2 linked regions of the Yarrowia lipolytica genome follow. The protein of the gene in region 1 binds, or shares a complex with, the protein of each later gene. Links are inferred from orthologs where the notes say so. Each region holds a gene or a part of one and is shown on either strand. Other genes may lie near its edges. The genes, in order: YALI1_E31248g and YALI1_E05972g.

Evidence for each region.
Region 2: the proteins of YALI1_E31248g (region 1) and YALI1_E05972g are in contact, whole or in part, in a cryo-EM structure (PDB 6S2F), measured with the Saccharomyces cerevisiae proteins. The link is inferred for Yarrowia lipolytica from reciprocal best matches to the Saccharomyces cerevisiae genes POL2 and CTF8. Residues at the interface, in NP_014137.1 of Saccharomyces cerevisiae: Arg1025, Met1036, Leu1037, Glu1038, Glu1040, Asp1041; in NP_012061.3 of Saccharomyces cerevisiae: Glu40, Lys87, Gln88, Arg128, Leu130, Pro131, Met133.

What each region holds. Positions count from the first base shown.
Region 1 is NC_090774.1:3,121,975-3,140,895, reverse strand, and holds YALI1_E31248g (uncharacterized protein), read right to left. Parts: upstream 16,030-18,921; coding exon 15,604-16,029; intron 15,419-15,603; coding exon 15,267-15,418; intron 15,177-15,266; coding exon 9,203-15,176; downstream 1-9,202. Other genes in the region: YALI1_E31396g (uncharacterized protein), read right to left, coding at 832-1,239; YALI1_E31389g (uncharacterized protein), read left to right, coding at 1,956-2,375; YALI1_E31369g (uncharacterized protein), read right to left, coding at 3,426-3,607, 3,763-3,868, 3,922-3,963; YALI1_E31351g (uncharacterized protein), read left to right, coding at 5,763-8,225; YALI1_E31229g (uncharacterized protein), read left to right, coding at 17,983-18,921. UniProt on the Saccharomyces cerevisiae protein: Catalytic component of the DNA polymerase epsilon complex which participates in chromosomal DNA replication.
Region 2 is NC_090774.1:595,650-609,287, forward strand, and holds YALI1_E05972g (uncharacterized protein), read right to left. Parts: upstream 1,592-13,638; coding exon 1,232-1,591; downstream 1-1,231. Other genes in the region: YALI1_E05963g (uncharacterized protein), read right to left, coding at 1-685; YALI1_E05975g (uncharacterized protein), read left to right, coding at 1,949-3,337; YALI1_E05994g (uncharacterized protein), read right to left, coding at 3,572-3,751, 3,829-3,906; YALI1_E06015g (uncharacterized protein), read right to left, coding at 4,866-5,939, 6,457-6,483; YALI1_E06028g (uncharacterized protein), read right to left, coding at 6,629-7,180; YALI1_E06031g (uncharacterized protein), read left to right, coding at 7,501-7,914; YALI1_E06056g (uncharacterized protein), read right to left, coding at 8,198-10,006; YALI1_E06065g (uncharacterized protein), read right to left, coding at 10,380-10,889; YALI1_E06068g (uncharacterized protein), read left to right, coding at 11,193-12,425; YALI1_E06109g (uncharacterized protein), read right to left, coding at 12,867-13,638. UniProt on the Saccharomyces cerevisiae protein: Essential for the fidelity of chromosome transmission. Required for the DNA replication block checkpoint.

The sequences.
Region 1 (18,921 bases):
GTGTATAATGTAATGTCACTCCAAGTTACGTAAGTCGGCGGATATTACACTTCAGGAGGAAATTATCATTTGTTTACTAATCCCTTCCTTTTCGGGAAATATGGTTGGCGCGAAATGTCCCAATCACCTGACATTGATATCACGTGGCGCCCGAAAATACTGACCCTCTATATCTGTGGAAATAATCATCACCGGAAAACATGCTTGAACCTCAAACATAATTGAGCACTACTAAACAACATAGCAGCCAGGTAATATCGATCGTCGAGAAAATAACGTGCTAGTGCTAAATCGCGCAATACGTTCGGCTGTTTTGTCTATTTCCGGATGTTTGTTTTGTTGGGTGGCAAAATGCCTCATGCTACAACCTTATTTGAGTCCGAAAACATTCCACTATTTTCAATGGGTGACATCTTCTCCGAATGGTGAAAAGCGTTCTCTTTTTGAGGTCGATTTTGACACGCTCTAGAGAAAAGTATTTCGAGCAAACTCCCAACCCCAGTTAAAACCTTAATATTTGTAACTCTCTAAAACTCTGATTAACGAGATGCATGGGGCATGTATGAAGCCTCCCAACTCCTGGAAAGTGACGATGGTCTGAGAAGGTATAAGCGAGATTGACTAATTGGGCAAAAATCAAATAAATTCAATAGAATTGCAACGAGGTATGTAGGGTACAAGATAAATCTGTATCCAGCCAATTGATCCTCATCTCTACAAATCAAGATAAAATACAATACATGTCATTCATTATAGTACACTGTAAACAGTTTTAATGGACATTAAAACAACCCAAAACCCAATAGATAAAATATAAAGCCTTCAAGAGACTTAGAGCTCCTGAGAAGCACCCTTGGCGCCCTTGGCGGACTTTCGGGGCAGAAGGTTCTGGTGGATGTTGGGGAGAACACCACCCTGAGCAATGGTGACGTGGCCAAGCAGCTTGTTCAGCTCCTCATCGTTTCGGATGGCGAGCTGCAGATGTCGGGGAACGATACGACTCTTCTTGTTGTCTCGGGCAGCGTTACCGGACAGCTCGAGAATCTCGACGGCGAGGTACTCAAGGACGGCAGCGAGGTAGATGGGGGCACCAGCACCAATTCGCTGGGCGTAGTTTCCCTTTCGCAGGAGTCGGTGGACTCGACCAACGGGGAAGGTAAGATCGGCCTTAGCGGATCGAGACTTGGAGGTCTTAGAAGAGGAGGCGGCCTTGCCACCGGACTTTCCACCGGAAGACATTGTGTGTTGTTGTTGTTGTTAGATAAAAGTGTTAGTGAGGAGTGGAAATAAAAGTGATTTTATTTCGCAGATTGTGCACTTGAATTGGTTGTGGAATGAAAAGGGTAGAAAGAGGGGGACACGAGCAGGTATATATAAGTTTGGGGGGCGTGAGGAAGGGTGGCGCACGGTAGCTTGGGGGTTCAATGTTATTTCCTGTTTGGTGCACGTGGAATGTAATGTTGGGAGGGGGTTACCGCCAGGAGTCTGTGTGTTACGTGTTGATGCGTGGTGTTGCTATCAACTGCTATCAGGTTTCTTTGTCTCGTCATTTCCTATTTGGGACAGTGGTGGGAATACTTTTGATGCAGCTCTAAATGCCATAGTATGCGTGGCGCTGTAATTTGGGAGAAATGGAGCCTATTGTGCTCGCGTTGGGAGTTTGTGCGTCGTGCTGTAAAATTTACACTCCTCTGCATATCAGAGAACGGCTGTTAGCGATTAAGGTTCTATCCAAAGTCACCTGGCTAGCACGCCCAAAACTCCCAATTGTGCATACACCATGGCCACGCACGTCGAGTCTAACCCACATCGTGCACAAATCCATTCACAGGACAAAAGTTATTATAAATAACCCCCCCTCCCCATCACATCACCTTCTTTCGATACACACCTTTATCATCCGCCTCAAATCGAGATAAAAGTTACACACTTTCAACCAACACACACAGAACACAATGGCCCCTAAAGTTGCTGAGAAGAAGCCCTCCCTTGCCGGAAAGGCCCCTGCCGGAAAGGCCCCTGCTGAGAAGAAGGAGGCTGGCAAGAAGACCACCACCGCCACCGGCGAGAAGAAGAAGCGAACTAAGGCCCGAAAGGAGACTTACTCTTCTTACATCTACAAGGTGCTGAAGCAGACCCACCCTGACACTGGTATCTCCACCCGAGCCATGTCTATCATGAACTCCTTTGTCAACGACATCTTTGAGCGAGTCGCCACCGAGGCCTCCAAGCTGGCCACCTACACCAAGAAGTCCACCATCACTTCTCGAGAGATCCAGACCGCTGTCCGACTCATTCTCCCCGGTGAGCTCGCCAAGCACGCCACTGGTGACGGTACTCGAGCTGTTGCCAAGTACTCTACCTTTGACAACTAAGCGCGCGCCTGATTGTCATCTTTTTATTATGTTTATTGGTTAACGGGTTATGAGGCACTGCCTCGTGTATAGTATTTAATGAATCTGCTATCGGATCGATTTGATTGTATTGTATGGCTCGAGGAATGTACGATACTGTGGTGCTTTGTCGGCCCAGAGGTAGCTGATAATCGGACTTCACTGTTTGTTTTGGTTCGTGTTCTGGGGTAAATATGCGTCCGTATCTCACTATCGTTCTGTAGCTACAGTATGTGTACTGTGATTACACCATAACACACCAGCCGAAACGTAATAGGGGACAAATAATACTCCATTTAATCACCAACACTGTTTGTACTTCACAATTACAGCTCACCTATCGTTGTCTTCCTGGTATTTTCATCCCCTCGGTACACTTGCATAGTTGTTCCGCTCTACTCCTCAATATCCAGCCCCAAACGCGTTCTGTGCATTAATTGATCATCTACGTGTGTGCTGCTGCACGTTGTATACACGTCCAACATACTCCCTTAGTTTGGCGCCATACATGAGCATAAGGGACGTAATAAGACGTGACGTGAAGAGCAGGGTGTAGAACGTGACGCGTATGTTTCATTGTTATCGTAGAAGTACTACTTGTAGTAAGACTGATGGGAATTGATGCATCCATATAGATTAGTAGTTTGATGTTGCAGCTTCACCCTGGTAAATCACGTCTGTAATCACGGGTATTTCTACTGGTAACTTGATCACCAATCGGAATATCTCGGTTGTCAACAAAAAAAAAAACTCCTCTACACTCCTCCTACAAGTACTTGTAGCCAGCCACTGCTACACGCCTGCAACGTACGGAATGCAACGCGTTTGCTAACAATGCTAACAGTAAAATCTGTTAGTGGTTAGGGTACTGATAGTGGTTAGGGTATGCTCCTGTTAACACTGTTGCAGCTCTGTTAGCGGTTAGGGTATAGCCATGTTGGTATGTGGAAAGAATGCATTCAGCTATGGAAAGACGTGCACATTGACGTATGGGACGGTGGGCATTGCTTGTAGGTGATGTAAGTCACGTGACTATTTCTTCTCCTCGTCCTTACTCAAGTGTCGCATAACAGCGTCGATTTTGTCCTGGGGAGATTGATCCTTGTCGGTTCGTGTTCCGATTCGGATATCGCTCTGGATTCGAACGACGCCCTTCTCGTGCAGGGCTTCGTGTGCCTTTCCGATGGTGGCACACACCTCATCCCAGGGTCCTTCTGTGGTTAGCTCATGTCAACGAGTGACAAGGTTGGTGTGATTGGCGTCTGTATCGCACGACATGCCTTTGTGTCCCCACAAAACTGCGTGTGGTGTGTGACTGTGTATGATCCACTCTCTGTGTGACTTGTCTGTGAAGCGTATGTATACTCACCGATGGTGGTGCCGGCACTGTGGAGGACGTAGTGCAGACCTGATGCCTTGATGACTCGAACCACGTCGGTCACGTACTCAGAAACTGAGGCGTTGCCTGTTCCAATCTGTGTTAGTCATATTTCGGGGTACATTAATTGATAGTATCGGCGTAACTCACAGGAATGAGGCAAAGGTCGGCAAGGCAGTGGAGTGTGGGCATGATGTTGTGTAATGTGTTGGGGTAGAGTGCATGAGATATGAGTATGTGGTTTATCATGTATATGAGTGTTGAATTGAGTTTGCCTTCGAACTGGCTGAGTAATCTGAAATATATACAGGAGCCTGAAATGTCTCAATTGTGGTTGAACACAGTTTATACGGTGCCTGGTGGCAATCATAGCAACCCCGAGTGTGTCGCAATTGCTCTCAAAAAAATAAGCTCTTCCACGGAAGGGCAAAAAGATGGCGACATCCGCAGGATTCGAACCTACGCGGGGAAACCCCAAGAGATTTCTAATCTCTCGCCTTAACCGCTCGGCCAGGATGCCATTTCGAACATAATATTTATTTTCTTGGGACGCAAACAACAGAACTCAGATGACTAAGCCGAATCATTAGAAAAAAAAAAAAAACGGTGATGAATCATTAGAATACAACAAAACAAAACAATACCACGAGACCACGACAAAGACAAGAACGAGACGAAGCGTCGACAAACCAACTGACGTGCGCCTCTCAGCGCACACCGCAATGATTCAGAAGTGTATGATTTATTGAACGCCAATAACCCGGCTTACAGCTTATTCTAATTTTTTTTTCTTCTTCACTACAGCTATATACCTACAGTATGTACTTGTAGTAAGCCGGGTTATTGGCGTTAAATAAATCATAAATCGTTTCGGTGTGCGCTGCGAGGCAGGGTTTTTTTTATTCTAATGATTCACGTTTTTTTTTTTATTCTAATGATTCATTATGTCACGTGATATATCTTTCCCATCATATAGGTCCAACCAAATTTATTGAATAACGGTTGCGGCCATTATCCTGGTGGGAAAAAATACGGCCTTCCCGTCCGATCAGCCATAGTCCAAGCACCAGGAGAGCCTAGTTAGGTATTGTAGTGGGGAGACCCATACGAGAATCCTGGGTGCTGCAATCTTTTTTTTCCCCTGATGGGAACTTGCACTGGAGTTTTGTGTGTCAATAGTCTTCAAAGGGCAAACAGTACAAGTAGCTACTCTTACATTTCTTCAACCAAGAAAACAACCCAGTCACTTCTCACCAAAATCATCCGAGGTCATGACGACACCAAGATTGTGCAGCCCCTCAAAGCGTTTTTATTGTGCTGACAGAACCTCGCTTGTAGAGTTTGACGTACGGGTGAGGTGGTGATGAAGAAGTGGTGTGCAAGTGGGATCCATATCGAAGTTGAGGCGTAAGACAGGATGGCCTAGGAAATTGGTCAGTCAATATTATAATCGGATGAACAATTTGAGAACGCCGTAATCCTCATATAGCTTTCAGATCAAGTATACGTTGTTGGAAGTCTACTGTAGTTAAGCACAGTCTAGTGGTTTTGTTGTGGGGCATTGGGGCGTGTGATATGACCTATGCACGAGTGAAAAAATGGGATATTTTATATGGAGATCATATCACAAGAAGCCAAGCTTGTATTGTTTTTATACCACCTACCTACTCTCAATGTTTGGTTATGGATGACATATATATCTCCTTTGTAAGGTAAGTGAGGTTACAGAGTTGCATGGAATTTTATTGTGGAGATGTGACGTTTGTGGGACCCTTCAAAAGAGGGGTTGTTGGTGAGATGTGTAAAATCTGAGCAGATCATAAGAATGGTGTTGGCTCAGATATTAATGTGGAGTACAAACTTCACCGCGTAAACCAAGTATAGGTGATGTCCACTTCTCCTCCTCGTCATAACCTGACTTTAACTTTGGACATGCATAGTAGACAATTTTTTTTAAATTGGATTTGCAACTTTTCGCACAGCACACAAAAATGGTACGAAGTCGTTCCAACTCCGTTAAGAAGGATTTGAAGCGCAAAGTCGACGAGCCTGTCGACGTGCAAGACGAGTTCGATGTCGAGGGACTCATTGATGAGGGCGACTCCGACGACGAGGATGAAGCTGAGCAGGAAGTGGCACAAGAAAATGTGACAAAGGACAAGAAGAACACCAGCAAGACTGAAAACGAAGAAGATGCCGACGATGAAAGTGACTCTGACGCCGAGCTTGAGGCACTCATCGGTGAAGAGGAGGATCTGTCTGGAAGCGAGCTGGAAGACGAGCTGGCTTACTTTTCTGATGCTGGAGACGACGAGGTCGACCCCTCGATTCTAAAGCATTTGGATGACGGAGTTCGTCTGCGATCTCTGTCTCGATCTTCCGACCAGACTGATGAGCTCAAGGACGTGGTTGAAATTGTGCCTGGAGCCGACGGCAAGCCTCGAATGATCAAGAAGGAAATCCATGCTGTCTACGACTCGGACGATTCGGACCAGGAGGAATCCAATACCATTGGAAACGTGCCCCTGTCTGCCTACGACCAGATGCCTCACATTGGATATGACATCAACGGTAAGCGAATCATGCGACCCGCTACCGGTTCTGCTCTGGACAACCTACTGGAGACGATTGATTTGCCCGAGGGATGGACCGGCCTGCTAGACAAGAGCACCGGAAAGGGTCTCAACATTTCCAAGGAGGAACTGGAACTCATCAAGCGGATTCAGAAGAATGAGACCACCGATGACGCCTCCAATCCCTACGAGGACCTGGTGGAGTGGTTCTCTTCCAAGACAGAGATCATGCCTCTGTCTGCTGCGCCCGAGCCCAAGAGACGATTCATTCCCTCCAAGCACGAGGCCAAGCGAGTCATGAAGATGGTGCAGGCCATTAGACAGGGTAAACTGCTGACAAAGCCCAAGGAGGACCCTGACGCCCGACCCAACTACGACGTGTGGGCCGACAACCTCACGGACGTCCAGGACCACGTCATGACTCTGCGAGCCCCCAAAATGCCCCCTCCCACCCACGACGAGTCCTACAACCCCCCTGCCGAGTATCTGCCCACCGAAGAGGAGATTGCCGAGTGGAATGCTCTTGCTCCTTCCGAGAGAGAGCGAAACTACGTGCCCAAGAAGTACACTGCTCTGCGACATGTGCCCGGCTACTCCGAGTCTGTTCGAGAGCGTTTCGAGCGGTCTTTGGATCTCTACCTGGCTCCTCGAGTGCGAAAGAACAAGCTCAACATTGATCCCGACTCTCTGATTCCCGATCTCCCCTCCCCCAAGGATCTCATGCCTTTCCCCATCAGATGTGCTACCACCTACAAGGGCCACAAGGGCAAGGTTCGAGCCATCTCTGTGGATCCCAGTGGAGAGTTCCTTGCCACTGGAGGCGACGACGGAACTCTTCGAGTTTGGGAAGTGCTCACTGGTCGAGAGCTGTACCGATGTCGTCTGGTGGCGTCCATTGATGCTCAGGATGACTCAGTCGAGTGTGTGCAGTGGAACCCCGCTGTCCCTGGCATGCTGGCTGCCTCTGCTGGTGAGCATATTTTCCTGATTGTGCCTCCCACGCTGTTTGACTTTGATATCGAGAACACCGGCCGAGAGAAGATTGAGCAGGGATGGGGTTTTGCCGAGGGAGGACGAGAGCAGCAGGATATCGATACCAAGGGTCTGGATGACGATGCTGACTCCGACTCGGACGACGAGACCGGTCACGTCAAGAAGAAGAGCCCTCCTGCCAAGTGGATCACCCCCACCGCCAAGCAGCAGGCCTCTGGTATTGGAGCCATCATTACCGCCACCAAAACCATCAAGCGACTCGCATGGCACCGAAAGGGAGACTATCTGGTCACTGTGGCCCCCTCGGCGCAGCACAGAGCCGTGGCCATCCACCAGATCTCTAAGCATTCGTCACAGTCGCCTTTCAATAAGTCCAAGGGTATTGTGCAGGACGCCATGTTCCATCCCTTCCGACCTCATCTGTACGTTGCCACCCAGCGATACGTGCGTATTTACGATCTGGCCAAGCAGGTCATGGCCAAGAAGCTTATGCCCGGTGCTAGATGGGTGTCTTCTCTGGACATTCATCCCCGTGGTGATAACGTGATCCTGTCGTCGTTCGACAAACGGCTTCTGTGGCACGATCTCGACCTCAGTGATAAGCCCTACAAGACCCTGCGATACCACGAAAAGGCCGTGCGGCACGCAGCATTCCACAAGGGTGGTCTGCCGTTGTTCTGCTCCGCTTCTGACGACGGTAATATTAACATTTTCCACGGCACCGTCTACGACGACATGATGACCAACCCTCTGCTGGTGCCTCTCAAGGTGCTCAAGGGCCACGATGTCAAGAGCGGTCTGGGTATTCTGCGGGTTGAGTGGCATCCCCGGGAGGCTTGGTTGTTTTCAGCCGCTGCTGACGGAACTGCAAAGCTGTGGACCACGTAAGGAGTGGTTCACAAGTGCGCGAGGATGTGTTGGAATCTTCCAATGGTGCATAGCAACAATGCTAGGAGGTAGCAAAGTTGTCGTTTAATAAAGATATTGATAGAACTGACGCCAGTAAAAGGTGCGAAGCATGAACTGCTCGGGCTTGACGAGTATGAGTACTTGTAGTACAAATAAGAGAAGTACAAGGTGTAGTGGGTGAAGAGTGAGTAGTGTGAGGGATATGGGGAGTACGAGCTGTGGTACAATACCGTGAAGCTGTAACACGAGAGCATGGTAGAAAAGTTGAAGCACTAGTAGGTCAGATCAAGTAGCGACAATGCCACAAATGCCCGTTTCCGTTTAGGTGGGCCCGCCAACTGAGCAGATCCCATAATATCGTTTCAAAGAGGGCTAAACTTCGCCAATGGAAATAGATCTGCATTAATCCAGACATATTTGTATGAGTGCAAGTAGAGGAAATATATATATATAGTATATATATATATATATTATATTGCTCAAATAGGGTGTGAAAGTCTGGAAAGATTGACATAGCTGCCACTCACCCTTGTCATAGTATTGTTCTCAGTAAATGATGGGTGCTGCCATCATTTGCAGTAGAGAAGTGCCACAATGTTTACAAGTCTTCCGAGTTACAAAGATTATAGAACAGTTCCAAGATAGTTATTTGTGCTTTTTAAAGTAACAGGTTCTCTATACCACTCCACGAGGGATATATCTACACATACAAACTACCAGTACAGTACATAGTGTACATGGACAACGTCCACGACAAGTTCAAGCCAAGTATAGGAAAGACTACGACTTTGTTCTAATTAGATAGTACAACTATTCATGTAACCCTTGTCTTCTAATCTCAAATACTCATACACACCTGTCTTGATACGATTCCTATCTCCACAACACACCCATACAGTACAAACATACATTAGATAAATATCTCCTCACGTCAGTCTTCCTCAACAACGCTCCTCCTAAACATAACCCAACTGTCTGAGGAACGAACCAAGCATCTTCAACTCGAACCACCGAGCGCACCGATCATAAATGGACAGCTCCTTGTGGACGTCTTCGGCAGACATGATAGTGACCCAAGAGCCAGAACAAGGACAGAACTCCGTGAGCTCATACTCTTTGACTCGTCGACACTTGTCGCAGCGGAAGTCCTGCGTCTCGTACTCGAGAATCATTCGCTGCAGCTGACCCACCAGCCGCTGCTCCACAATGACCATATCATAGAGCGAGTTGCAGAGGGGGCATCTGAAGCCAGATTTGGTGCAGCACGAGTCCTTGCATAGGTCCAGATCGCAGGGGTTCTTGCACTTGAAACACATCATGTTGGTTAGCTTGAGCGACATGGACGGATCTCGGAACGTGCCCTCCTCGGAAAACTCGTTGATATCAAAGATGTTAAGAAGGTCTCTGAGCAAAATCTGGACTTCAAAGTTGGCCTTGGCGTTGATGCCGTAAATGTGGCACACGTACTTGGCGAACTCGACCACGGGATTAGTCTCTGGCTGGATCATGGACCCGGGAAGCACGGGGAACTTAAAGGCGTCAATGGAGTCGCCTGAGGAGAGAACATCCGATAGCTTTTGAGCCAGCAGCTTGACCCGTCTCACGAGCTTGGGATGCAGGTAAGAAACCACACCCTTGCCAAAGAACTTGTCGCTCAGAAGGGCAGCGTCGTCCTTGTCTCCGTCGGTGAGCATGGGAGTGTCACTGGGCATGTCGTCAACATCAGTAGTTCTGTTTTCGGGGTATTTCCGCAGCCGCAACAAATGAATGTACTCCTGGACCCACTTGGAAAATTCCTGCTGTAGAGTCTCAGGCAAGAAGTTGGCAATGTGCCAATGCATCAACAGAGACTCGCTCTGCTTGGAGGGGTCAACAATGACGTCAGACGAGTAGCCCCCGTAGTTCCACTTGTCCATCCACAGGAAGGTGTCCCAGTAGCGAGTAATGTCGACAGAGACATACTTGAGAATGGGATGGGTTCTGATCTGCCGAACAATGTAGTTGGAGTACGAGTACACCAGCTGAAGCTCCGTCTTCTCTGTCTGCAACACAAGCTTGTGTTGATCAGCGTACACCAACTGAGCCTGGTGCTTTCGACACTCTTGAGCAAGATACAGGAAGGTCTTCTTCGTCAGGTTCTGAGTGTGGTACAGCAACTGGGGGGAGAAAAGACGCGACTCAGGCGCATAAACCCACACTGTGAAGTTGTCCAGCAGATCCTGGGGAGGCCGTTTCTTGTCCCCGTGCTCCCACCACTCCTTGACCACCATTTTGAGGGTTTTGAGGGCGTGGGGGTTGAAGGCGTTGGAGAGAAGCTCGTTGTGAATGTCTCCCTCAGTATCCTGGATCACAGCACTCTGCAACAAGGCGTTGAGCACCAAATGCTCGATTTTGATCTCGAAACAAATGTTGGTGTACAGTCCAGGATTGTTGGCGACAGGCACTTCCGCCTGGTCAGTGAGGGCTCCTCCGGTAGACAGAGCAGCAGACCACCACAAAACGACACTGTTCTGGATGAGCCGACGAGCGTATGATACGTCAATCACGTCCCGGGTATCTTGCACATGACACAGAGGCATCTTGGCATACCGAGCCATCTCGACAAGGTACGAAATGTTGGCTCCATGTGACAAGAACGATGCAATCAGCCGTCGAACCAGATCCCGTTGCCATCCAACAGCAGCAGTAGACGGAGGAACGGGTCTCAGCCGAATACAGGGGATTCTGGCCAGGGCAGCCACCTTTTCATCCACGTTTCTGTCCGGAGAATGGAGTGCAAACACCAGCTGGCCGTTTCGGGAGCCAGACAGTGAGTCACACGCCTTGGACACCTTCTGCAGCATTCGTCGGTGGTTGGAACAGTACTCCACCTCGTACTGCATTGTGTCGGGGAAGGAAAAGACGGTGCAATCGTCCATGTTCTGCTTGTACCGTTCTCCACGTCGCAGACGGGCGTACTCCTTCGAGATGTCAGGTAACTTTTCACTGGAAGACGACTGGTGCACAAACACAAGAGCTGGTGCGTCCCAGGTGGGTGTGATGACAAATATCTCCACGGCAGAAGAAACCACGTGCACAATGTGAGCGTAGGAGAGTCCTGAGTTTTGCAGGTAGGACCGCGAGTCACCTGACTTGAACCATTTGGCCTCAAAGCCATGGGTGAAGCCCTTGGAGAGGATACCAGGAGTGGAGGCATCAAGATGGAATGTGGATCCAAGCTCAATGAGGGCACGTGAATCAGGCGACACGTCGGCCTCGTAGATTTTCGTCACGTGAGGGTCCTTCAGCGGAGACTCCGGGTTAGTCATCTCCGTCTGGTACATGTCTTCAGACATGACTGCTCGGTAGAGGTACTTGGGTTGCTCCTCTTCAGCCACAGCCATGGCATTGGTCACGTCAGTGAACTTATCCCACTTCAGCGGCTCACGAGACCCCACGTACACCTTGCGCGGCACATTGATCTGCACCCGTTGCATCTTGTCTCCGATGATGACGCTGGCCTCCACCTGGCCAGGTTTTTCGGCAGCATGGATGGACACCAGGTGCCAGGCGTCTTGAGCCAGGTGGGCGTTCTTGGACACCCACGAAGAAGCGATGCCATTGTCGGACTCGCCAAAAAGATGGGCTCTTCGGTCTCGCTGAGCCTTCTGATGCTTCCACTTGACCTTGGCGTACTTAATGTAGGCTGCATAGTCGGCGAACGGATCGGGGGCCTTGTGAGGAAGAGAGGGAGTGGACTTGTCCGTTTCCTCAACAGTTTTGCGCACTCGTTTAGACACAACCACTCGGGCAGGCACTCCAGGGGGTCTGGAAGGAGAAGGAGTGGTCCCGATGCTTTCAATGTCGCCCACCTGGATCTCCATGACCTCATCTTCTTCACTGAGAATGGGCTCAGGAGTGGGAAGTTTACCCTTGACAAAATAAGAGCTCAGGGTGCTCTGCTTGATGGGGTTATCTCGTTGCTTGATGATGTCAGAAGCCCATTCGGGGGGATCACAGCCTCGAACGGGGTTCTTGAGACCCAACAGAATGGCAGGAATCACCACAAGCTTGTTGATAGTCGTCGCCAGACGTTCTCGATAGTACATCCAGTCAATGACGTCTCGGGGGTCCGTGGATTCCCATCGAGGGCCCATCCACCGTTTCAAGAACCGCAGCTTTTCGTCCAGAGATTCGGTTTCGAAAACCAGAGTGGGAATAGCTCGATCAGCAGTTGAAGAGTCCTCGTCGGAACCCTTCTTAGCCTCAGGAACAGGCATGGAGTTCTTGGTTCGAACCGCAATGATGTACTTGGTTGACAGCTTGCCTCCCGTGAGAATGGAGTCGCCCATAATCTCCGCTAGACGACGGGCAGTCGTCAGAGCAGTACTCTTCTGAGAGCCGTACTCATGCACAGGCTTGGACATGGACTTGTTCTCACAAACCAGGTCAATGAGCTCTTCGTCGGATAGGTTCTTGCCGCGAGAGTCAATCACTGCCAGCCAAGCTTCAGCCACTCGAGCCTGAGCAGCATAACACTCGACGAGATTGGAGCCCTCCAGAAACGTGTCCCACAGCTGTGACTGAAACTTTTTGATCAACGACAGCTCTCCTCGTCGCTTGACCTCGAAGCCCTTAAGCTCGACAATCTTATTGCGGTCGTCAAAAACCACGTACCGCTTTTTGAGACCCTTACCCTTATCAGTCGACGTAGGCATCATCATGCACTTGTAGGGTCCGTCGAGCTCGAAGAAGATGGAGTTTTCTGAATGAGTGTCGTACTTCCCAGTCTCGGGATTCAGCTTCTGGTACTGGTGGTTGGTAAAGTCTCTGTGCACCAAGTAGTTCATGATAGAACAGGGATACTCAAGCTCGTAGCTGGAACCATCCTTAAACTTGCACTTGAACTTCTCGGGGAAGGTCTTGGGCAGCATACACCAAATACCGTCTGTATCGAGCTCAAGAGGAATACCAAGACCTTCCATTGTCTGACGGGCAATCTTGATGATCTTGGCTCCAGTGTAACAAGTCACACCGGCCATCTCCATGGAGTACCATCGAGAACCCTTTCGCATAACATAACCGTAGAAGGAGTTGAGAATGACTTTGTGGGCCAGCTGCATCGAGTCGTTGGTGATAGCCATCTTCTTGGCCTCCTCTCGAGACGCAGGATCGGAAGCAGAAGCAGCCTCCTTGTTCCACCTTTTCGCCTTTGTCTTGTAGTCGATTCGACGCTGTTTGAACTCTTGCACAACATCGACATAGAAGGGGTTTTCTCGCTGGCAAACAATGGTCTTTTGCACAGTCGTCTCCGAGTCCGTCTTTCGAGCCTTGGTCTTGAGCGAAAAGGCCGCCACTCGCTCCTTGAGCTTGTTAGCCTGCTCCTGACCAGACAATCCAGCCCAGCCCTTTCGTTTCTGGAACTTTTCCCGCTCAGTCATACCTTCATCGTACGAGATCTCGACAGATGAGCCGTTTCCGAAACGACCTCCGGAGTACTCCTCAACCAGACCCTGCTTTAGGTTGTTGACATCTCCCTTTGACACAGGGTAATAGTCGACTCGTCGAGCCCACTCTAGTTCACGTGCGCACGTCTTGTCGGGACGGTTGTAGTCACAAACAGCACAGTCCTTTTCGTCTACCATGGAGTCGGGCTGAAGTCGGTTGGTCGTCATGATGTTGGGGTACATAGACGCGACATCCACGTGGTAAATGAGCGGGTAATCGGATCGCTTGGGGTTGGATTTGAGCTCCTGAAGCTGTTCGATGATCTGGTCTCTTACTTCATCCAAGTTCTCAAAATCAGACGATTTCTTTCCAGCCTCAACAGTGACGCAAAACTCGAGAGTCTCGTCTAAATTGACCAGTAGCTCGTCGATACTGTTAGTATCAATGTCGAAATCGACCATGATGTCGCTTCGAAACACGCCAGCAGCCAAGGACTCCACGTGGCCACCGGTGTACGTCTCGTTATCGACCAGATGACCCTTGTAATGACGCTCAAGAGCAGGTTTGTGCTTGTCGGGAAGAATGATGCGTCCCTCATAAGCCTTGACCATGAGGAGCATCTCGCAAAGAGTACCTGTACCTTTTCGTAGCACTGCATCGGGGTTGAGGGGAATAATGCAACACAGAGAGAAGATGAACGGATGCACATACTTCATGTAGAGATAATAGGTGGCCACAGCATCGGAAACAGAATATTCCGCGAGAATCTGAGGATGGTCTCGTGCATAAGGAGTCATCTTTTCCGGATCGAGCTCCTTGGGATCGTAACTCAGCTTCACCTTTGTCACAGCCTTGAGACCCTGAGAACCCTGAGGCAAGTACGAGTCTCGCTTGACCCAGTTGAGACAGTCCATATGCACACAATAGGAACACTCGTATCTCTCTTCCTCCACCTTTTTCCATCCAATCTCGTCGTAGAGATTCATTCCATGGAAGGCTGTTCGTTTGTCGATGAATGGGAAGTCGAAAAAGTCTCCGTTGTAGGAAGTCATCACCGTGGGACACACGTCTCGAATGTGCTCAAACCACTTTTCCAACACAGCCTTCTCGTTAGGCTCGTTGAAAATGGTGAAATTACCGGGGAATTCGGGCTTGGGAGTGTACTCAAAGTCCTCAATGTCTTCACTCACCATTTCTCGGTTGGTGATGAGGAAACCCTCGCCGTCAATCATGTACGAAATCATCATGATTCTGTCGACGGCTGAGTCGGGGAAACGAAGGGGAGCCTTTTCGGTCTCAATGTCGTATGCCATGACGACTGGATCGGCTCGGTACTCTCGTTCAACCATGTGTTTGAGCACAGCCGTGTCGTTTTCCTTGGTGACCTCGTACCAGTTTCCCACACGAATGTCCAGATCAATGGCCACTCGGGTTTCAAACGGCACATCAAATTCCTTGATGCCAGTGATGGATGATTCTACGTCTGTGCTGGTGTCCACATCGCTGGGTTAATATTGAACATCTTGTTTGAAGACTGACCACGTGACTTCAACACAGTCTTTCTCTTGCCTCTCCCCTCTTTCTCTTACTCACCCTTCAAGCTCATAAATGTTGAGATGCTGCTCTGTCTGCTGTGTCTGTCGGTCGACAATCTTGCTGAGCGTGAAACGTGTCGAGCTCAGATCCTCCGAGTTGTGAAATTCCAATTTCACCGCCTTTCGTTTCTTTCCTGTGAGATGGTTTGTCTGTGTTAGCCAATTGTCACACACGGCTTAATAGCAAGAATTACAGCAGTAAGAATCACAGCAGTAAGAATCACTCAGCAGTAATGGACTCACTGCAATCAGCGAGATGCTGAGAGTTCGTTATCTCTCCCACTCATTGCAATGTCTGCCACTCAACTCATCCAGGGCTGCTTGTTATCACTCACCAAGTTCAAATCTTCCTTTGTAACAATTTCCGTGCTTGCGAGCACCCGCTCAAACATCTTTTCCATGAGATCCTTCACCGCATGCTCAGTATGAGGCTTGCAAATGACAAAAAAGTAGGGCCGGAACACCACCGTCGACTTGAAGTTGCCTCCCTCCTCGTCGTAGAAGTAGTAGTCCACCGCTGCCAGGCCCCGCTCGGCCGTTTCCGACTGTAGCAACGTCTCGTGCATGTTGACCAGCCACCCGACTCGTTTTTCATCGCCAGAGAAGCGAGTAAAACCCATTCGGTCGTCTATGGCATCTCGGCGTTCGACTGCGGCAAACTTTTGACCCAGCTGCTCGATCCGCTCCAGCCTTCGCCGCTCAAACTCGTCACTGCGCTGTTTCACCACATGGGTGTTGTTTCCGTTAAAAGGTCGACCCATGGGTGTTATGTAGTGTGGTGTTGAGATGTAGTTATAGTGGGTCAATATTCAGACGCGTAAAAATATTGGTGTAGCTGTACACCCAACCTTATTCAACCAAGGGGTGTTTTTCTACCGTGCTTTTCACACAGCAATGGAGGAGATTTGAGATAAAGATGGAGCTTGAAAGTGGATATTTTGACACTTAAATAACCATTCAAATCTTTAAAATGCTCAAAAAGTGATCTCAACTACCAGAATGAAGGGGTTGTTTGCGTGGTCTGGAGAAAACACCAACCAAAACTGTAATACAAAAGTACAAGTTCAAGGTAATGTAAGCACACTGAAGTTTCTGCATTTCCTCATGTATATATATATATAATTTGAAGTTGTTCTAGAATGGAAAAATGTACACATAAGAATTTCCGCATGTTTTCGAGGTCGAATGGCCATATATTGTCACCCTCAAACGCCTTGTTTCGTCTTGTAAACCCCCCCTCACTCTATGACACGCTTCTAGTACACAGCTCAAAGTTTCGCGTTGCGCCTGTCCCAATTGGGATAATTAATGGCTCTATGATGCAGTCTGAGATTACTAGAGATATGAGGGGGAAAAATGGGACGCGACTTTAAATTCGTGGAGTTGATTTTACTCATTTTGAATAGTTAAATATCTAGTTAATAGACTAACTCTTAACCTGTGACAACTAACGGTAAGCATAATTAAACCGCCAAAAGTTGCTACGGCCAAGATTACAAAGCTGAGACGGCAATATTTTCCCACTCAAACATTTGCGTCTACTTGTACCTTAAAAAACAGTCATATCCTGTTCTTACACCTCTCCTAATCTTTAATTTTACCCTATTTTTCCAGCATTTTTCGGTGATATTCATTCTCTAGAAGTTTTACGGATGCAATTTCCCGATTGGGTAAGCCCGCACGATGAAGTGTGAAGTGTTTTTTCTCAGCCCAACTCTGCATGCTTTTTGCAAACATGTGATTAGCCACGATAAGCCTTCCTGTTTAGGCATTTGGATGCGGTGTGGGTGAAATGTATGAGCTATAGGGTGAAATTTTGGGACAGCACGTAAGATGGAGGAGTTCTGAGGAGTGGGCGGGGATTAGATGCCTTGTCAGAGGAGATTCGAGTGGTGATGTGGAATTGGGTTGTTTTATGGCCGTATAACAGTTCATATGTACGTTACATTACTTGGGTTTAGTTGAATAATTTACATTTAGTTGAGAATAGTTGGCCATGATTACCATAGTTAAGGGAAGCCGCATATCTCACTTATACTCCGCGGAAGCAGCCAGTGTGTATATCTTTACACATCCGAAGACTATCTCAGTCTGCGCATAGAGATTCCCACTGTGGAAAAGCCACTAACGAGTTTCTGTCGTAACCCTTGTCTGGCCCGATAAGATTGACTAGCTCCAACTCTGTACGATGTTGGATACGTCAATGGATGGTTGAAGTGTGTAGATATGGAGTCAACGTCTTATTCCCGATATCCCCAAGTCTGATATCAACTCCCTGAATGATTCTGTACGTCTAATGGCCTCAAAAAATACAAACATGCCTCTCAATCTTCCCTTCTATATATCTGCCCCTCTCTGAGTCACCATTACCTGTGGTTACTTGTACTATTGACTTTTGACCGGTTCTCGCTTTAGATGTCTTGTGGAAGGCTATTTGGAACTCTGTGTGAGGAGTCTGTCTTGACGAGGTCAGTATAAGAGTATGCTGTTGGCCTCCAGAAAGCCGTTCAAAAACAACGCATTTTCTCCAGCTAAAAAAAAAAAAAAGCGTTAAAAGCTACAGCTACTTTCCTTGCCAAGCCACATCGCGCCAACGCACCAGAGCCCTCGCTTATCGGGTGGTACATGTTGTACACCAAATCTGCACCTCAACTTAGTACTCACGGCAAGGTCTTCACCGCCACAACACATCCCCTCTACAACTCCCCACACACATGTCGTCATACGACTCGCACCTGCTAGGCTCGTCGGCCGAAACGGCCCCGATAGCCATCTCGGAAACGCCGCAGAAAAAAAAAGGCGGACATTTCAACCGAACCCCAAATTCAGCTGGAGCAGCTTTCGGCTCGCTCGGTCGATCCGGAGTTCGAGTTTCATACAACTACTCGGATGAAGATGACGACGACGAAACCAACGATGACTCGGAATTCGACGATGCGTCGTCCATGTACTCTACACAGGCTGAGAGAGCCACCCAGGAACAGGAAGAGCTGCTCAAAAAGGCCCGCCCCCAGGCCAACTATGGAGGCACCTCTAACGGTAACAACAACAACAACAATAGCTACGGAGGAACCACTACCCACGCTCGAACCCGAGAAGAACGACGAGCAGTCTACAAGGCATTCGATGCGGCTGTGAGAAAGGGAGAAATTCAGACTACTGCCAGCACGGAAACGAAAACGATTCTCAAGTACTCGGCTCCACTAACCATGACCTTCCTCATGCAATACTCGCTGACTGTCGCATCGGTCTTCTCCGTCGGCCATCTCGGTAAGAATGAGCTCGCCGCATGTTCTCTGGCCTCCATGACCTCCGCCATCACAGGTTTTGCTGTCGTCCATGGAGTGGCCACCTGTCTAGATACCCTGTGTGCACAGGCGTACGGCCGAAAAGACTACAAAATGGTCGGAGTTCATTTCCTGCGATGCACAATCTTTCTGTGGATCATCGCTGTGCCTATAATTCTCTTGTGGGCCGTTTTCGGACGTCAGCTGCTGCACCTGCTGCTCGACGATCCCGAACTCATCCATTTTGCAGCCCTCTACCTCGAGGTCCTGGCCTGTGGTTTCCCCGCTTATATTCTGTTTGAAAACCTCAAGCATTACCTGCAGTCCCAGGGTGACTTCAACGCCGGTACCTACATTCTTCTTATC
Region 2 (13,638 bases), about 2.5 Mb from region 1:
GAGCAGAAGACACCTCAATGAAACCTCCATAGGAGATGATGAAATCGATGTTCTTGATGATCTGGTCCCAAACATCTGGCCAGTTCTCTCGCACGTAGTTCTCGGTGGCTCCAAAGCCTTCTCTAATGGTGGAGTACAGTCGAATGAGATCAAAATGAGCAACCACCTCGGGCTTAAGTTTCTGTAGCATGTTCCATTGGATCTCGTAGTACTTTTTGTAGAGAGCATGTTCAGGAGTAGTCTGGTCGTCAATCATATCGGACACAGAGTCAGAAGCATCGCACCATTGGCCCTGGCTGAAATCAATAGGAATGCCGTTGACGTGGTGCACAGATCCAACACACAGGTCAAGACCATAGTGCTTCTTGAGCTCAACCGCTCGATCCCAGCACTCGGCTCGGATAGACTCACACTCAAAGCCCACCAGAATCTCTGTGTTGGAAGTGTTATCCTTCTGTAGCTGTCGAGCATGTTTCACATAATCGTCAAAGACCTTAGCGAGATCAACAGGAGTAGTTTTGGACTCAATCTCCTCAGGATACAGATCGGTCTCCCTGGATCGAGGCATATGTTCTGTGAGACAGAAAACGTCGAATTTCTTGTCCTTGGCTGCCTGGACACATTCTTCAAGACTATCCTTAGCGTGTTGGACGTACTGTCCCGAGTGCGAGTGGTGAGAGTGCATGTTGGTGGTTGAGAAGAATGTCAATCACTGCTTGTCGAGGCACCACTGTGGTTATCGTGAGATGCATGCAATTAGGCTTTTGATAGTGACAACGGGAAAAAAAGACTTGTGTAGCTAACCGAAGGTCATATGGGTCATAGGCGAGGATTTCGAACAATGTAGCTCCAGGAATCACTTCTTGAAGACTGGAGGAGCGTAAAAGATCGTTTCCGTGCGCATTCGCATCATGAGGGTGTTTTAAAGAGTGCTGTTGTGCCTTCAATAGCCGCCAGTAGTCATAAGCAAATACAAGAATCGGATTCCAATCAATTATTTTAATACTTACAGCCATGTCGTTACAATGCATTTTTATTACCTATAAATATGTTGATTTGATGCTGTTTTTTTTGAGGCGGTTCACAGTGAGTCAAGAAGAGACTGTTGGTGTATCTTGTCGAGCATTCTTTAATGCACTGAATGCTGGCAACTGGGGCGTATGTGCTGTAGTAGAGCACATCCTTTCTTTACAGCCGAGCAGACCTTTCATAACTCGACAGTGTATGGGTTCTACTCCTCCGCTCCAACAGGCTCGGGAATGTCTGTGAAGGAGACCTTGTGGGTGACAATCTCAATGAGATCTACCTGATGCCGGTTTTCGGGGTCCATTTTGAGCAGCCCCAGAGGCTTGTCGAGCTTCTTTATCGATCCTCGCATTCGCTGTTTCCCGTCAATCACCAGAGTGGCTTTTTTCTCTTCAAATTCAATGGATCCAACGCGTCTTGATCCCTCCTGCAAATGTGCCTTACTGACCACTTCTCCCTGGATTTCCACAATGGCCATTCCCGATGGGGTCTGGATCATCTGAGGCACGGATTCCACATGGTCGTTTTGTCGTAAGTGGTCCAGAAATATGTTGGTCACGTTCATGTCAATGGTTGTCAAGTACACAGTGAGTGGATCTCTTAATTTAGCACGCACTGTAGACGCGCATTTGAGTTTGGGTGTGGAGAAGGGAGAAGAGCTCTAAAAAAGGTAGAGAGAGATGGTTAGGTGAATAAAGGGAGTGGCTGACGAGATGGGTGTAAGCGTAATCTTTGTATAAGACTGTTTACTATATACCGAGTGAATTTTTGCTTCAGAATCTCATTGTATCACCCCTTTAGTGGCTCTCAACCTCGTCTACTTTTTCGAACCTCTGAATATGCATGTCCCAGCGCAACTCTACGTGGGATAAATATCATCTCCACCAAAACAGTCATTATCCACCTCAACCCAGCCATCATAATGACGTCTCTGGCCAACCTGATATACGCACAGACTCTCTACAAGTACGCGATCGACAACAGCGTCAAATCGGTAGTCGTGTTACCAGATATCCCCCAACCTATCGCCGAGTACATGGCAACACAAGTTCCCAAACACCCATTGATTCAACCCGACATTCTCAGCATGACAGGAGGCCCTTCCTCGCTAACTGCCGCCCATTGTCAAAAGTGGTGGCGTCAGATGATCTCATCGACGAAAATTGCAGAAAAGGAACTCGCTCTGAGCAGTTTGGCCAAGTTGGTGGATGGATTCAGACATGTTTTGTACAACGAGACGGTGGCTGGTCTGAAAGCCGACGAGGTGAAATTCAAGCATCTGAAGGAGATGGAGCGGGATAAAAAGATTAAGGCCGAAACTGAGCGATTAGAGAAGGAAAGACTAGAGAAGGAGAGACTACAAAAGGAACAACAGGAAAAAGAACAACAGGCCAGACGGGAGGCACTAGAAGCTAGCAAAGAGCAGGAAGAGGCCTCAAAAGCTCAGCAATCAATGACGAAATCTGACGACGAGGACGTAGAGATGACTGACGCTGTGGAGGAATTGAAGGAGAACGAAAACAGCAGTAAGAAGGAGCAGGCTGAAGTTGAGACTACAGAGGCTGATGTGGAGTCAGTAAAGGTCAAGGAGGAAGAAAAGGACACTGAGGTCGAGACCGAAAAGAAGACAGTAGAGGCTGAGGCTGAGGCTGAGGCTGAGGCTGAGGCTGAGGCTGAGGCTGAAGAGCAGAATTACAAGGATGAAGAGGAGCAGGCTGATGGTGCAGAGGCAGATGTCGAGTCGGACGCGAGGGAGGCTGAGGAGTCGGGGTCCGACAAGGAAACGACTGCCGACGTGGAGACCGACCGTGGAGAGACAGAAGAACCCGATGAGAGCGAATTAGACCGGGTGACGGAAACTCCAGAGGCAGGAGCTACTCCTGGATCCGAGGAACGGACTCGAAAGCGAGCACGATCTACCACTGAAGACTCTGATTCGCGAAAGCGGTCGCGCCGAAACACCTCTGCTGCCCCTTCGGCCAACCGCAAGTTTCAGAACGTGGCTGGCAATCTGCTCTCGAACATCTCATCCAACAAATCTGCGTCTTTCTTCACACACCCTGTCAATCCCAACAGTGCGCCCAACTACTACGAGTTGATCTTTTCGCCGACGGACATCCGGACCATCAAGGCCCAGGTCAAGGACGGACGTATTTCATCCACTTCTGAGCTTGAACGTGAGGTCGCCAAGATGTTTGCCAACGCCATCATGTACAACCCTTGGGACTCTGATGTAAACCTGTGGGCTCGAGAGATGCAGCAGGAGACTGATGCTCTCTTGACCTTGTTTCGGGGAGCAGGTGGGGAGTAGAACATAATTACGATTGATAATGATTACAAATGTATAACACCATGTTTGCAGTTGCAACTAAAGTGGTGCAGCTATGAGTGGCACAGTCCAGTATGATCAGACTCCGGGCAGATGATGATAGTGATGCAGAATAAATACAATATCAAAGTACAACAAGGGCAACATCAAACACAATCATTGGGGTTGCACCGCCTCATCTAGTAACTCGAACAGGGATCAATTAATATGTACATTTTATCTCTTCTGCATAAGAGCAGCGTTCTGTTCCTGGAATCTCTGGCCGACTCGTTCAGAGTGCTTGAGGAACTTCTCGGAGCACTTCTCGAGACAAGACTCTTCTCGGGAAGACAGAGCCTTGGAGGTGAAGTCGTTGACACAGTCAGTGAAGCATCGCTGGACGAGAGAGGAGTAGAGCTGGGTTAGTATGTGTGGTGTGGTGTTGTGTTCTGTTCTGTTGTCGTGGTTGTCATCAAGAAATTTGGAATACTCACTCGCATGAAATCCTTCATCTGCTTCTGCTCGACGAGCTGCTGGAACTCCTGCTGTTCTCGGTTGTTCAATTGATCCATCTTGTGTTGTGATTTGGGTGACTGATGTGTGTGATTGTCTTGAGCAACAACGAATACTTTTCACTCCCAGGTGGAAAAGGGTATCACGTGTCGAGTTTATTTTCCAGAGAGGGGCGAGTGTGATTGGGCTGAAATATGGCGTTCAAAGGCTTTTCAGAGTCCCGTGAGCATATAATATCATTGTGCACTGTTGAAATAACTACATCTTCTCATTCTTCTGATATTTCGCCCTCAATGAACCGCTGCACTCCTATTGCCACTCATCACCAAATCTCGGTATGAACCTTGTAGAGTTCGGAGAAGCTGGGAGAATCACGGCTTCAAGAAGTCTCATAAACACGCAATTTGAGCGGTATTGAAAATCTAACATTTTAGTTGGACTCATCTTATCGCAAGTACCGACCAAAAAACTTGAAATTCTCGATTTTGCGCGCCGAAACATCATGTTCAACGCACCTTCTTATGCACTCTTTATCACGGTGATATAGTTGTTCAGTATTTCTACAAGTACAAGTTCTGGTAAAAACCTATAACCTTACCCAACTCCATCACACCCAGTGAAGAAATATGCCTCACTGAATCCTCAAACAAAACACCTTGACCAGCGAATATGTGGAATGTCCATCTTTAGAATACACAAACACACTCGTACAAGTACCGTACCAGCCACATACTTCAAATACACTTCTCTATCACAATATTCCCTTGCTTAAACACATTGCTACAAGGGTTAAACCACAGGGTGCCATCTTACAGTATATGTATCGTACAGTGGTTAAGATTAGTTTATCTCCGGATCATCAGAGTTAATCATACCCATAGATACAGCTGCGGAAAGGCGATTGTTATACAGCATGGCACATTATTACAAGAACCGTGTACATCCACACTAAATCCATCACACCCACTACTCATCAATAATTCGTTCAATGTCATAATATCATCTAAATCATACATAATTACTGGAGCTTGTTGATAACAGCCATGGTGAACTCGTCAGTAGTGGAGTTGCCGCCAAGATCGGGGGTTCGGACCTGGCCCTCAGCAAGAACGTCGTAGGTAGCCTTGGAGATGACGTCAGCGAAGTCATCGAGGTTGAGGTGTCGCAGAAGCATGGCGGAAGACAGAATCATGGCGGTGGGGTTAGCGGTACCTCGGCCCTTAATGTCAAGACCGACGTGTCGGCAACCGGGCTCGAAAACGGCGTGCTCGGTACCCAGGTTGACACCAGGGACGAGACCGGGGCCTCCAACAAGACCGGCACCAATGTTAGACAGAATGGTTCCGTAAAGGTTAGGGGTGACGAGAACGTCAAACTGCTGGGGCCAAGAGACGGCCTGCATGGAGGCGTTGTCGACAATCATGTCGCCGTACTGGATCTCGGGGTACTCGGCGGAGACCTCCTTACAGGTGTTTCGGAACAGACCATCGGCAAGCTTCATAATGTTGGCCTTGTGGATGGCAGTGACCTTGTGTCGGTTGTTCTTGAGAGCAAAGTCAAAGGCAAATCGGGCAATTCGCTCGGACTTTCGCTTGGTGATGACCTTGATGGACTCAACAACACCGGGGACAGGGGAGTGCTCCAGACCGGAGTACTCACCCTCAGTGTTCTCTCGGATCAGAGCCATGTCAATGCCGTCGAGTCGGGTCTGGACACCGGGGATGTTCTTGATGAGAACGAGAGAAGCAAAAATGTCGAGCTCTCGTCGCAGGGCAACGTTGAAAGAAGTGTGACCGTGCTTCTCAACGGGGGTGTGGAGGATACCCTTGATGGCAACCTTGTTTCGGTTGATGGATCGAATGGCCTCCTCGTAGCCGTCGAGATGGTTCTCGCCAACACCGGTGACATTGACAACCTCCCAGTCAATGGGGACGGAGATAGTCTTGAAGATGGTCTTGACAGCGTCAGTAATCTCGTTACCGATACCATCACCGGGGATGAGGGTGACGGTGTACTTGGATCCGTACTCCTTGGGCTGGAACATGGTTCGAGCGTTGGTAGCGAGGGTTCGCTTGGGGAGAGCCGAGGCGGCCTGGGTTAGTATGTTATCCTAATGTTTTGGTGTCGATGATAGTTATTGTGGTGTGCGGCAATTAACACAAAACACACCAGCAACAGCAGCGGCGTGCGACAACAACGTAAACAGGTGTCTTCGTATCCGCATCGCCTCAATTGTTCTCCATTCCCCTGTCCCCACACAGTGTGCTACTGCCCGCTACTATTTTTCTCCGTAGCACATGCAGGAAAAAAAATAGTGGAGGGAAAATAAATACACGCATAGATGTTCCGGGGGTGGTGGTGACGTGGACAGGACCAAAGTAGGAGACTGTGGAGCAATCGGCGCCGGAGTTGCGACATACACTAGCCATTGGTCTCAATGGCGTCTTCCCCTGCCCCGAGTCTCTGTCTGTGATGCTGTTGTTGTTTCCGAGAAAATGTTATGGGTTGTACACAGATGTCGTCGGTCATGTAGCGCGCATCGCTGTGCCATGGAGCGGTGCTTCCATTGCACCTTGAGTCACCTCCATTGACTCGCCCGGAGTACTCACCTTAGCCAGGTAGGCGGTTCGAAGCATTGTGGATGTGGATATGTTTTCGATTAGACGACAAGATGTTGCCAAAAGGTGTCCTAGTTAAAGAAGAGAGAGAGAGAGAGTTTTATGTGGGAGGATGCAAAAAAAGCTTTTACGAAATTAAGGACGGCGAGGTTTAAACACGGCGTCAGAGCGAAACCTCTATTTCGAAGGAGACAAGCTTGAAGAAGAGAGCTGCGCCAGGGGCATTAAAAAGAGTGTCTGGCACGTCACACTGGGCTCGTGGCGAGCCATTCGATATTCCTAGGCCATATACTACTTGGAAAACTTTTTCCTGCGGCTCCATCTGTACCCTGTCAGCTGCACCATACTCCGCCAAAAAATTTACATTGTTACATTCATTTACATGTACACGTTTCTCCCACATATCTCCATGCAAATCGGAAAAACAACATCCGTCCGGGTACCCGACCATAGAGGCTTTTATCCGCTTAGCTCCGAGCAGGGGGGATATGAATGGGGGCTTAAGGGGTGTCGAAATAATCGGTGGAGGTCGACCGGAACGTTCAAATTGACTAACGATGCCAATTGAGACGTCCAACGGTGTCTCATACTCACGGTTGCTCCAATAACCGCGTTCTTTTGTCTCGTCATACTTGCACCCTTGGCTCCTCTCTTTGCTCCCATCCAGCTTTGACTTCTTCTTTGACTTCGAAGTCTGCGTGTGTGCAGTGCCCATTGGCCAAAAGTAGGAAAAACCTTGCACCGAAACACGATCCGGAGCGACCCGGATAATGGATATTAGTGGGAGTTTGGGGAGCCGGTGAACTAGCTTTGATCTTGGGAACAACGTCTGCGCTAGCGGATATGGTTAGCACATTTCCACAATTCTAAGTGTCGATGACGCAGATGAGAATCGAACGCGCACACAGAATCCAAACCTTAAACAAAAACCACGGGTACAACAGCCCAAATTGAACTCGCGATATCAGGGCAGAATCAAACTACAAGTAGCACTATCAAAATCGTGATCCTGATCAGATCAACGGCATCAACAATATGTCGAAGTCCCTAAACCTTTACAGATCGCTCTATCGAGAGCTGTCAAAGCAGTATGTCGCTGCAATGACCGTCCACATCAACGGTGAGAACCAGCGAAACGAAGCCAAGGCGAAGTACGAGGCGATCCAGAAGAAAACTACACCCAAGGCCATTGAGAAGCTGCCCACACCCCGAACTTCACATTACAACAGTACTGCTCTCAGAGAGTACTTCACAAACGGAACCGGAGAGGCCGAACAGATCCAGCACGCCGAGGACATGCTGCTGTTTCTGGAGAACCAGCGAGTTTACAAGGACCTGCTGGCCCGATACAACCCTGGAGTGGATATGGCCGATCAGGAGAGAGTGCGACTTTCTGCCCGAAGAGTCGGACTGGAAGTGCCCGTTGGAAAGAAGGACTTTGAGGATTAATTGTATATAGCGTAGTAATGAGTAACGAGTCTAGACGACGAATTATTTGTACGAGTATACTACAGTGCTGATAATACATGAGGTTTCTCTGCAACCGCCTACTTGTAGTAATGACGATAAACACATGAATTTGATACACAAGGTGGTACTTGTGCATTGCAGTCTCATTCATTTGTGCATTTAATAAATAAATATCATCGTCTAGTCACATCTTCTCTTAGGCGGACTCGTAATGTCCACCGGCTACCATTGTAGCAATGAGACAGCCCCCGCTGTTAACAATTCATTTCCTCCCACTGGTCCCTTTGATAACTTCCTGGCGAGCTCTAACAGCAGACCAGAAACTGCCGTAGCTCCATGTCAGCTTCTCAGCTCCTTGCATGAACCCATCGTATCTATTGAATTGCTCCGACATATCTCCATTGTTAGCCTGATGCTCTCTGATGACATCCAAGAACGAGTCACCGAGGTCAACGAGACGGTCCAACAGATGCTGATACTCTTCGGAGTCTCTAGCAATGCGGTCAGAAGACACAAACGTACCATAAAACTCCTTGGTGAGACTATTGATCTCAAGAACAAAATCAGACGACTGCTGGGCCAAGTGGTGAGCAATGAAGAATATGGTCTCTGCAATGGTAGCGGTACAGATGAACCAAGGATTGCCATGAGAGGTTCCCACTCCATCGTAGACGTCCTCAGCATAACGACCAACACCAACGGCGACGTACCCAGGATTTTCATCCTGGAAAGACTCCTCGAACTCAGCTAATCGTTGATGATTAATAGGGTAGTCGAAGGAGTGCACATAAGGCATGATAGTAGCAATGAGAAGATCGTCGTAGGGCTTGAGAGATGTACCTGCAGCTATGCTAGACTCCCATCTAACCGAGTCAAGAGCGGCCAAGAATATGGAGGAATCAAGGCCCGACCTTCCAAAACTTCTGGGCTCAAATTGTGCATTCAGCCGAGAACCAGCCTCGAAATGTGTCTTGATGAATTGTCGAATCGATCCAGCAGTGAATGTACATCTGCTTTCGGTCTCTCGATCTGAGTAATGTCTTGCAAGTTCCACGACGTTAATGAGAGCGTTGAACTGCACTTGAGAAGTGAAGAGATGGTAGCCCTCCAGTTCCTCCCAGAGATCAAAAGTCGGCTGATCCCAATACTGTAGAATGTACTCGACATCGGGTAGGATCATAGACTTGTAGATATACACATAGTCGTCGAGAGAAGCTGTTTCATTCCACTCCACCTGGGTTTGAATATAATGCGAGATCGTTTTAATTCTGAGTGCAGGTCCATCATTCTGAGGTCTACCCCAGTGCCCTGTGAATGCTGAGCCGTCAGTCTCAAATTTAGGCTCTCCCAAACCACTAACAACACGTCTGTTCCAGTCAAAGTACCCGGAGGGATTGCTGACGTGCTGCAACATGCCTTGAGTCTCAATGTATCCCATGATGATGTTGCTGAGTGTGTCGTTCAGTATACCTTGACTAGCCTGGTCATAGAACCGCCGCACAACTGAGTCCATGGTGATGGCAGCATCCCGAGTCCATTGGTAATAGTAGTCAGGGGCCGTTTTAGAGGGACTAGCGATAACAACGCCTACGGGAAGACCGTTGTTGCTACCTTGGTGTCCCACATTGTCGAGGACAGACTCAAAGGCGTGATGAGTCTGCTGAGCGAGCCACAACTCGAATTTCTGGGCGTCAATGAGTGTCACGTTTGGTCTCGCGTATGGTGCCAGCAACAGAGGCTTCTGATCGAATAGCGGAAGCGCTAGAGACCCTGGAAGTGCTAAAACAGAAACAAACGCTTGTAGCAACATCGTCGGTATGTGTGTATGTGTGTGTGTGTGTGTGTGTGTGTGTGTGTGTGTAAGGATGAGAATAGCGCAATCAAGCCATTTATAGCAAAAGAGAGAAGGTGTAGGTACCTGCACAAGAAGAAAATCGTGCTTGTCGGAGAAAAGCAAAACTGTCACTTCTGCACCATGCGTTCGCGCTCTTGTTTTGTTGTGGTAGTATTTTTTAGCACTCACGGTTCTGCATTGAGATTTACCTCTTGCTGTGTGACCATCCTTCCGCATGACCTTGGTACGTGATAAAGTGTACCCGCTTGAGAGATGTACAAAGATGTACGGAGATATGATACGTGTGCCGGCCGCGCGTAACGTGACTATTAAGATAAGTATAATATTTTCGACTCTACAAGCACCAAAAACAGGTCACTCGTTCTAGTATTTTTTTACCACATTTCCCCAGCTTTTGCTTTCATTCTTTCATACCACTAACGTGAAGACCAAGGTTACATGTGTAGGGATATTATTGGCACTACTGTAAGAAGGACAAAGAAACCACAAGGGGGCCGATGCCCACGATGACCCTGTGGACGGAGTCCTCTTCTGGGATATGAGCTGTGTCATATGAGCTGTGTCAGGTGCTTCACGGTCCGTTGTCCTGTTATACGGAGATATGTGGGTGGGCCATGTACGGTAGAGAGGGGGTAATAGCATGTAGTAAGACACACACACAGAGAATGTCACATGACCTACGATACGAGTACGAGAACACATACATACAAGTGCAAGGTACTACTGTATTCGTACATACAAAGTCTGGTAGAGTATGTACCGGTTTGTACGAATGTGAGAGTGTACTATAAGGGGCTGAGAATAGTGGCAATGAAAGTGGGGCTGGAAACAATGAGCAGGACCATTCAGAAAAATCGGGATTACATAATACAATACAAGTACAGTACAGTACTTGTACTTGTACTGTACTGTTGCAGTAATTCATGAAGGTAGCGAGATTATTAAGCACGTACTTCATCATTTGGACGAGCCACGAGAGATATTTTATACGACAAAGACGAATTCGAGGTAGAATACTGGAACGGCGGGAATCAGTCAAGACCCGTACATGTACTGAAGTCGAACGACTTGAAAACTTGTATACACAGTAATTGTTCATAGTGGGATGTCGAGGTCCACATAAATTTCTTAATAGTGAACTCTAATTTTGTGAGGCAAAATTTATAGATAGTGTAGCCAGATCATCACAATATCAGAGGAATTGAAAATGATACAGTTGTCCAATGCTATTGTCAAATAGTTACCATTTACAATCTGCTTTCCTTGAATAAGTCCTACATCCGCAGTCTTCGCGATTCCTCTATCAGCACAATAACCTAACCCTGCAGCTCATCTGCAAAGCCTGAAAAAATCTGGTGCTCGAAAATATCTTTATTCAAACCCACGATACATACACACCAGCATGGCCAGCGACAAAAAGAGAAAGGCTTCGAGCAAGCGGCTGACGAAAATCAAGGTCGCTAAGGTTCAGGACGATGGAAAGGTGTTTCTTTCTGACTGCGGTCATTTGTCCATCCCTAAGGACGCCAAGTTCTCGTCCGTGTCTGACAATGGAGAGACCTCCATCAAGGGAAAAAGCTCCCGAATGCGATACACCAGTGTGCCTGTGGACCACGAGAAGTACTGCGTTGCCGTAATTTCCTCTAAGGGCTTGGCTGATCTGGTCCCCGCCGAAAGCATTGAGCTGAAGGCCATGTCCAAGCAACTAGCCAAGAGAGTCGCTGAGAACACCGAGCAGAAGTCCTACAGAGAACAGCGAGTCAACCTGGGTAACGAGTTTGGAACTCTCAAGGCAAAGAAGACCCTTGCCAGTTTGGCCCGAAACAACATTGATTCCAACGAGCTTGTTGACTTTGAGGACGATGTCGTGGAGGCTGTCGCTACTGCCACTGCCAACCTACCCACTCAAGAGCAGGTGTCCATGGCAATGGATGATGCCCGACCCATCCCTAAGCATAACCTCGAGACTCTGGATGTCAACGAGATCTATCCTGTTGAGGGATACCTCACCGACGAGGAGGCTGGGTACATTCGAAGCGAGGCCATTCTGGACGAGCAGGATATCGGCAAGCGAGTGGACATGCTTCCTTACCGAACCTCACAAATGGTGCGAGACAGTCTCTACAAGATCACCGACAAGACCGACGAGACCATGTACAAGACCTCTCTTCTCTATTATCTGTCTCTGCTGATTGGATTCTACCGAGATCGTCACGTCAAGAAGCGGGAGGATATCAAAACCAGACTCAACAACCCCCCAGAGTACCTCATCGACCAGATGCTCTACCGGTACACCACTCCCCTTTCTGGTGGTCACAAATCACAACGGTACCACACTTACATGGTCAACTCCAGAAATGAGGCAATGTTGCTGTGTACTATCATTATTCTTGTGCTGAGACTCAACAACAACGTTGTAGACATTCCCATTCTGTCGCAGGAGGTTGGAATCAAGCCTTCCAAGCTTGCTGACGTTTGCAGACAGGTGGGATGCGCCATTAAGAACGCCTCTCTGACTCACATGGATGATATCGGACGACCTCGAACCGAGGCTAGCCACTGGAAGATTGCCTCGCTCAAGGCTCCGCTTAAGCTACCAGAGCTTGCCCAGCGACGACGAAGAGCCAAGAAATAGACTAATGCATAGATTGATAATGGGTGGAGATTTGGATGAATCCGAGATGAAATATTCTTACAGCGAAGTAGAGAGCACTGCATCAACATTGCTCAAATTCTCACTCTGGTTGGCCATTAGGCAATGGCTCGCTTTGATCCAGTGAAAATCACAGCGGACCCCTCCAGCGACTCGACACAGCGATGTCGACAAGTCTGCTACTGACCAACAGTTACTGACGAAAAAAGTTGAATATACTCGGTATTTCCGAAAGTTTTGAGATGTACCACAATCACCACGGCACATGTAAACAAACACACAAGTAACAATTACTTGTACTGTGCGATGTCTCAACGATCCTGGTGAAAGTACACGCACATAAGAGTAGTAGATTGCTTCTAGAGCTACACGACACAATACATACTCACCTCATTAATCATTAATCTTATACATATGTGGAGCTTAGATAACCTCTTCGGCATCGCTCTCAATGTCATCTCCAAGCAGCTCGTCGTCCTCGTTGATATCAACAGGTGCGTAGTCTCTTGACCACGGTCGGTTGCTACTTCCAGAGTGGCCGAAAATGCCTCGAGCGAACTCGCCGACGCCCTTGAGAGCCTCGGGGATCATGGTGATACCTGCAACAACGTAAGCCAGGCCCTTAAGAGCCTGCTGGACGACAGGGTTGCTGGAGCTGGAGGAAAACGAGTCCTCATCGCCCAGTCGAATGACACCAAACTTGGACTGGTAGTGCTGGAAGATCATGAATCCAATGACACAAGCCATGGCAATAGGAACAATAATGACGAAGAATGTGCCGATGACACCAAGTCCACCACCATGCTTCTTGCTGAACTCGCCCTTCTTACCAGGGCAAGGAATTGCATCAGCCTTGTCGAGCTCCTGGCCACCCTTACAAGTGGACAGGGGGATTCGTCGGTAGCCGGTAGACTCGTAGTACTCAACGAGGTTGGGGTTCTCCTTGCATTGGAGGGCGTGATCAGGGGGACTGGCACCCTTGACAAGCTTACAAGTTCCGTCTCGGTCTCGGACGTAGTTGAAATCACACTCAAAGTCCTCTCGAGTGCACTCACAGTCCTGGACAACCTTGTGTGGTTGGATGAGCTGTCTGCCAATGTAGCACTTGGAGTCGACCAGCTTTCGGTAGTACTGAGTCTCGTGGCCAAACAGACAGTTGCTCTGCTGAGTGGGGTTTCTGGGAGACCACAGCTCG